2 linked regions of the Arabidopsis thaliana genome follow. The protein of the gene in region 1 interacts with the protein of each later gene in a pairwise test. Each region holds a gene or a part of one and is shown on either strand. Other genes may lie near its edges.

What was found.
Region 2: the proteins of bZIP44 (region 1) and EBP interact in a two-hybrid assay, tested with the Arabidopsis thaliana proteins (one large-scale study listed by BioGRID).

What each region holds. Positions count from the first base shown.
Region 1 is NC_003070.9:28,289,710-28,293,611, reverse strand, and holds bZIP44 (basic leucine-zipper 44), read right to left. Parts: upstream 1,915-3,902; 5' UTR 1,389-1,914; coding exon 867-1,388; 3' UTR 604-866; downstream 1-603. UniProt on the Arabidopsis thaliana protein: Transcription factor that binds to the DNA G-box motif 5'-CACGTG-3' of MAN7 promoter. Involved in the positive regulation of seed germination through MAN7 gene activation.
Region 2 is NC_003074.8:5,703,572-5,707,639, forward strand, and holds EBP (ethylene-responsive element binding protein), read left to right. Parts: upstream 1-1,969; 5' UTR 1,970-2,212; coding exon 2,213-2,372; intron 2,373-2,610; coding exon 2,611-3,197; 3' UTR 3,198-3,513; downstream 3,514-4,068. Other genes in the region: AT3G16760 (Tetratricopeptide repeat (TPR)-like superfamily protein), read left to right, coding at 1-895, 1,336-1,509.

The sequences.
Region 1 (3,902 bases):
AGATATTTAAAGGATCAAAGAAACGAAATGATTGAGAATAACGAGATCATATGGCCTCGTACGTAAGAGCATCTTCATCGACAAAAGTGGTAGAGAATATCTCAAAAAATAAATAAATTAGTATTTTAATTAAATTAATATATTTTAATTAGTTTAAAGTAAATAAACCATTAGTTGAATGACAACTCTCAATAAATGCTAAGAATCGTCTCTTTTGCCAGAAACGGTTCGCCACTTTTCTTTCTTTCTCTCTTGTTTTTTTTCTTTTTAATTATTATTTATTTGATGAGTATCTCAATCAGATACTTCGATGGAGATGGTATAAAATTCTTAAAAAAGAAAAAAACTCGAGTGACCCATGATAACAACTCATTTTGATGTAAGTACCAAAATGCATAATTATTTTATCACATCGGGAAAATATAGTCTCTAACACAATAATCACAACACACCATTTCTATATAGTATTTTAAATGGACCACCGCCATCTACAAAAACCGTCCACGAGCTTTCACATTATTTTCATTTATTTCACTAATAGCCAAAATTTCATCTTTCTAATAAGAGCAACAATAACTCCCAAATAAGGAAACAGAAAACTCTAAGAAAATGACAAAATATTATTTCTTCACTTTTAATATATAGAAAGAAAAGATCTTAAAATATTTGTACCAAACTCACATCACCATCTCCATGATATCACACATTTCTTACACTGTCTATCATTACAATCAGTTTTAAACACTAATTAACCATCTTATAAAATAAAGAAACAAAGCATCATCACATAATTTATAAGAAAAATTACAGTTTTACCCCTGCTGCGATGATTAGTCTCACTCACGATGATAATGATGTGAAGTTTTCTAACAGTTGAAAACATCACCAGCAGTAGAAGCAGAAGCCATGATTGGTTGATTATAAAACCCTAGATTCATAGGATTCATCACGCCGTCGAATAATCCACCGTCGAATAATCCCTGACCGGTCTCCATACCGAATCCTGAAGAAGAAGATTCGACGAAATCAACGATCTCGTTAAGAGATTGGAGACGGTGGTTAAGTTCAAGAACCTGAGCTCTGAGAATGTCGTTCTCCGCCTCGATAGTGACGTAGTGCTGCGTCGTGACGGCGATTCCGGCGACGATCTGAGCGTTTTCTTTACGTAGATGAGTCACCTGAGCAGTGAGATCATCCAAATGCTTCTGCTTCCTCATCCTCGACCTCCTCGCAGATTCTCTGTTCGACTGTTTCCTCTTTCTCTTCCGCTCGTCGATTAGATCACGTTGCCGGAGATCAGATTCTGAACCGGAGTTAGCTAAACCAGTGGTTGAAACCGACGAGCAATTTCCACTTGTGGAAGATCCCATTTCAGTTTTATTATTCATATTAAAACACACAGAGAAAATTAAGTACTATGATTAAGACGCAGGACCCAAAGTTTATTATGTAAAAAGATTATAGTATATAGTTTTAATATATTATTATGGTTATAGAATATATAATAATAAAGGGCTAAAGGAGAGCTGATTTATGAGAAAACATAGAACCAGTAGAGAAAGACGACGGAGAAAGATTGAACAAGATGGGTCCTGCGTCTAAGAGACGAGTCTATAGTTAAACCAGATCTAAGGATTTCACTAATCACCGGAGACATGAATGTTTGAACATCAAGATCCACAAGAGTTTTGCCACATCAAATATTTATCAAACGCAAACTGATTACTAGTGTTTTTTTCTAGAGAAAACTGAAAAGAGAGAAAATATAAAAAGGTAGAAGAAAACGAGGAAGACAAAATAAAAACGCTAAAGAAGAGAGAGTGATTGATTCGAGAGCGAAGGGGAAGAGGTGAATTAAGGATTTGTGAGGGGATTTTATAGAGTTAGCAAAAAGGGTTTAGAGCATACTAGATTTAATAAGAAAATAAAGAGAGTATAAAGTGAATATCAGAAAGAAGGTGTTGAGAGATGAAGCATGTGAAGTGGGATTTTCCGAAACAGTCAAGTTACAGCTGTTTTGCAATATTTTATTTATATATTTATGTGTATGGGTTTAATTGTAAATTAATGATTCTGTATAATTAACCAATAACTATTTTTAGACATTTTTAATATGGAAAAGGAAAGAATCTTCGGTATTGGGTATCCTATTTTGTGAAAAGTTTTGATTTTTAAAATCTTCAAATTTTATTCTCTGATGAAAACAACGCGTTTAATTAATTTTGGTCAAATGATGGCTTTCAACAATATTACAGTAACACTGATAATAATAGTTTTGTATTAATGCTAACTTTTACTGCTAAAGAATCTTAAAGATAATAATAATAAGAATAATTGAAACTTTTGTCGTTGGTTCTCGACTTCTTTTTAATACATCAAAATCACCGCCCAAAGTACCAGAATTAACCGTTGAGCAACGGACACCTGGAGCATGAGACAAATCATGAATGAGGGTAGAGGTGGTATTTTCGTTATTTAATTTCTTATACATATATCTTTTTGTCAATAATTCAATCAATTTCGCTGTCCAAAAAAATAATATATATATTTAGGATAATAAATTAATAGTTTAGAAAACTATCAACTAACCAGCCGTTGAATTTATCGCCGTATGAAGCATCAAAATTAGAACTATTATTATCTTTACAATATTTCTATAACGTTTTGGAGTCCACTATAAAATATCAAGTTACATATCGAAAAGAAAAGACAAAAAGAAAAAACAATAAACTTTAAACGAGTAAATTACAGTACGGTAAAAAACTACTATTTGACAACAAAAAGAAGAACATATATACATTATCTAAACATTAAGGGTGTCAAAAACTTTAACTCATTGAACTTCATGTGACCGACGTGTTGTGGTACGTATAGTTACATAACATTGGATTGTAGAATCCAAGACGTAAATTCGTGTCAATTTATAAAATAATTTTATTGTGTGTAACATATTACATGTGGACCATGACTACTTAATCATTTGGTTTTGGTGCTTTAACTGAAATGGTTTGTGAGAAACTCTTTACCAAATTTTTTTGTTCATCCTCGAGCTCGTAATTAATCAAACATTTCGGCAAAACTTTGATATCTATAAATCTCATAAAAAGATTGAAATAAGAATAATACGTACTCATCTACAGCTCTATAACTTACAATAATATTATATACTAAATTTTGTAAAACACACATATATATATAGCTTAATTAATTGAATAGGAAAATTATGTAAGATGGACCGTCATAGTACGGACATCTCACGTGCAATTGCAATGCAAAGAGTGCGTGCTCTGTGCGCATGTGGACCCATGTCAAACATCGCAGTTGAGATGTAAGATCGACACGTGTCATTTTATTATTGAAAATGGATTTTTAAAAAGAAAAAATGTTGGTTCAATCGAATAAGTGAAGTCTAACGTTAATTAGGTATTTCCAATTAATGAATGTGTCCCTGCAAACATTGCAACAGGTAAGAAAAAGTAATTTGTACTAATTTGTCTTCTTCACACAATGCTTATTTGGCCTTATTTTTTTAAAAAATCTTTCATTTTAAATGAAAAATTAATTTTATTCGATACAGAAACATAATTTTCTTTACAAAATCGAAGATTTTTCAGATACCCAAGGTTTCATCGAACTAATTAAGATATCTCAAATATATTTATCATAACGCAAAATCAATTGAATAAATAAATAAAAATGCGACATGTATTGGAAAGGCAAAAGATCCCACTATAAATTAATGTCTAAAATACAAATGGTTACCACTTACCATAAAAATAATAATCGTCACCTCAATAATTTTTCATTCAACAAAAAGATTGTTGTTATTGCTTTCTACTAAGGCATATCACATCTTCTTTTTTTTTTGGGCAACAGGCATATCACATCTAATTTCATAAAAT
Region 2 (4,068 bases), on another chromosome or scaffold:
TAAATCTAGTAGAAACGTGCCGTTGAAGAATGCACCGCCTGTTTCGGCTTCAGGTTCGAGTAAGAGTCCTTATTCTATGGGGAATTTGGGTGATTCGTTGCCTAAATCTGGTAATTCGATGAAAACTGGTGGTGGTATGGGTTATAGCAGTAATCCGAGTGGTTTTTCTGGTGGTTACACGAGCTCCGGTGGTTTTAATGCTAATCTTGGAGGTCCTTCAATGAAAAATATGGCTGGGGGCAATCTAAATGGGTCTGGTCTTCCTTCGAATAGTGATCCATTTGGTTCTTTGGTTGGTTTCGGATCAAAATCATCAGGAAGCAAACCAGGAAAGGTTAACAACAATGCACAGAATGATACTTTTGGGAATTTTCAAGGAGTGTCGAACCTTAACAGTGGCGGTTCTACGGGAACAACTACTCAAATCAACGACTTTGGGGGTTTCCAGGCTTCGAAATCAAACACATTCTCATCAGGAGGTAGCTTCAATGCTTCAAACGTTGATTTTGGTGTGCAACCAAGTGGTCCACAATCTTCGAGTGCAAACGATGATCCATTAGGAATGTTCTCTAATTCCAAACCCTCAGCTGCACCACCTACGCCACAGACCGAAGATTGGGGATTTGAAAGTTTTGACGGTGGGGCTGGTTCCACCACCGAGCTTGATGGTTTGCCACCGCCTCCACCGGGTGTATCAGCTACATCAGCTAAGAACAAGGGCATTGATAACCAGAGACAAGGTCAGTATGCTGATGCCATAAAGTGGCTCTCTTGGGCTGTGATTCTTATGGATAGAGCTGGTGATGAAGCTGGATCAGCCGAGGTTCTTTCAACAAGGGCTTCGTGTTACAAAGAAGTTGGAGAGTATAAGAAAGCTGTAGCCGACTGCACAAAGGTATGTTAAGAAAGGCACATTTTTCTTTGGATGCATCATGGACCATGGTTCATATCATTCTCATCTCAGATCCTTAGTTTACGAAGTCTCTAGTTGTATTGGAATCAGTTTAAGGACTCTTGATGAAATTGATACTGATAAGAGTTTTCAGGTATATGAAACTTGACAATATGAGATTTAGGTTCTTATGGAATCTTAAGATAGATTACGAGTTAGAAATACTGTGCACGTATAGAAAGTTTTAGTGTCTTGCTTTGTAGGAAAATATACCACAACTAAACAGTTCTTGGGATCGCGTCATCGTAGCTAGTTGATTGGTTGTTATGCTCCATAGATGGTTTCTTGTAGACTCAGAACAAAACCAACATCTTCGAAACTTGTTCTGATTGTCAGTTATGCTTCACAGATGTTTTTTGTTCACTTTGAAAACGTGATTGCAGGTACTTGATCACGACAAGAAGAATGTGACCATTCTGGTTCAACGAGCACTGTTATACGAGAGCATGGAGAAATACAAACTCGGAGCTGAAGACCTAAGGATGGTTCTAAAGATTGATCCCGGGAATAGAATCGCTAGAAGTACTGTTCACCGCCTAACCAAAATGGCTGGTTGATCCTTCATATATACGGATACTACTCAAAGAAAAAAAACAAAAAACCCTCAAATATCTATAATCCTTCACATTGCTTTGCTCAATACCGTTTCCTCTCTCATCCATGGACCATGCGTGTGTGTATTTTTTTTCTGAGATTTATTGGTTCGTCTATAATGCGGCAGCTTCTTGTAGTAAGTGGGTCATGAGTGTATTTTTTTGGATGGTGCATTTATATGTTGTTGATTTTCTTACACACTAATTTTTTTTGAGTTTATCATGAAATGTTTGATCATCGATGTCATATGAAATGCCAAAGATGACCGTAAATTTCGCATCGTAACTCGCAAAGATGAACCTTACTTTGAGACGCTGCCTGCGTGATGGACGTGAGACGCATAACGCATACTATTAAATTACCAGACGCTCGTGGACACAACACTTCAATACCGAAAACTAAACTAATCACATTGTGATACGTTTTGTATTCAGAGAGCCAAAAAAAGGCTTACAATTTTGTCGTTATGTGGATTAGCCTTCAATTTGTTGTAACCGTCATGTATCAAGGAACATAAAACTATTAGAATTATTATTCTAATATAAAGTAATTCATTTCACTCACACTTTATTACCATAAAACATTTATTTTGCGCCTATAAAGGCATTTCAGCTCCACCGTAGGAAACTTTCTCTTGAAAGAAACCCACAGCAACAAACAGAGAAAATGTGTGGCGGTGCTATTATTTCCGATTATGCCCCTCTCGTCACCAAGGCCAAGGGCCGTAAACTCACGGCTGAGGAACTCTGGTCAGAGCTCGATGCTTCCGCCGCCGACGACTTCTGGGGTTTCTATTCCACCTCCAAACTCCATCCCACCAACCAAGGTATGTACTCTCCTATTAATCATAAACAAAAATACAAAATCATTCAAAAACACAAACATATAGTTTTTTCTAACCTTTTTAGCAAAAAGGTAAAATAATATTTCTGGAACTTACGGAAGATGATAAAAAAAAAATATTTGTGGTTTTGGTAATGTAATTTATCAGGATTATTTAATTATCTGTGTGGGGTTAAAATTGTAAATTTTGAACTTTGGGGAATCCGGTGAAAATTTTGAAGTTAACGTGAAAGAGGAGGCAGTGAAGAAGGAGCAGGCAACAGAGCCGGGGAAACGGAGGAAGAGGAAGAATGTTTATAGAGGGATACGTAAGCGTCCATGGGGAAAATGGGCGGCTGAGATTCGAGATCCACGAAAAGGTGTTAGAGTTTGGCTTGGTACGTTCAACACGGCGGAGGAAGCTGCCATGGCTTATGATGTTGCGGCCAAGCAGATCCGTGGTGATAAAGCCAAGCTCAACTTCCCAGATCTGCACCATCCTCCTCCTCCTAATTATACTCCTCCGCCGTCATCGCCACGATCAACCGATCAGCCTCCGGCGAAGAAGGTCTGCGTTGTCTCTCAGAGTGAGAGCGAGTTAAGTCAGCCGAGTTTCCCGGTGGAGTGTATAGGATTTGGAAATGGGGACGAGTTTCAGAACCTGAGTTACGGATTTGAGCCGGATTATGATCTGAAACAGCAGATATCGAGCTTGGAATCGTTCCTTGAGCTGGACGGTAACACGGCGGAGCAACCGAGTCAGCTTGATGAGTCCGTTTCCGAGGTGGATATGTGGATGCTTGATGATGTCATTGCGTCGTATGAGTAAAAGAAAAAAAATAAGTTTAAAAAAAGTTAAATAAAGTCTGTAATATATATGTAACCGCCGTTACTTTTAAAAGGTTTTTACCGTCGCATTGGACTGCTGATGATGTCTGTTGTGTAATGTGTAGAATGTGACCAAATGGACGTTATATTACGGTTTGTGGTATTATTAGTTTCTTAGATGGAAAAACTTACATGTGTAAATAAGATTTGTAATGTAAGACGAAGTACTTATAACTTCTTAACTGTTTTGTGGTAGTCCTGATTCCTGAAACTAATGGGAATTAGTTTGTATATCAAACAGGGGTTCCTAACTTGTTATTATTAGGTTAGGTGGAATAATTCTAGGGTTTTTATTGACAAAAATTAACAAATAGTGGTTTTTATGGAAAAAGGTGATGGTACCAGTATAGTGGGAATACACAGAAGAATTTGCAGCCTTTCTCAATTCTTATACGTATAATTCTCGTATGTCTATGAAAAGGGTTATACGTATGATGATTTATGAGTAGTGAGTACATACATCTTTTTCACTACTTTACATGTAATATTTATGGAAAAGGTCTGATCCGTTTGCTCTATCGAGAATTGGAATTGTGAGATATCTTGATTTTAACAGTTTCAAGATTAATGAAGAACAAAAACAATGGCAACAACTTACAAATTAACATTCGGAAGAAAGAAAAAAACTTACAAGTGAGATCAAATTTGGATTTAGTATTTTAGATGTAAGTTACAAATATTTCATAAACTAATAATCTATTAAAAAAAAATTATTCATTGTATTTTACTTTATACCGTAACCTAAACAATAAAATACAAATTTATAATTGAAGGATTTTAATTGTTTAAATTACTCTTTCTACCATATTTGT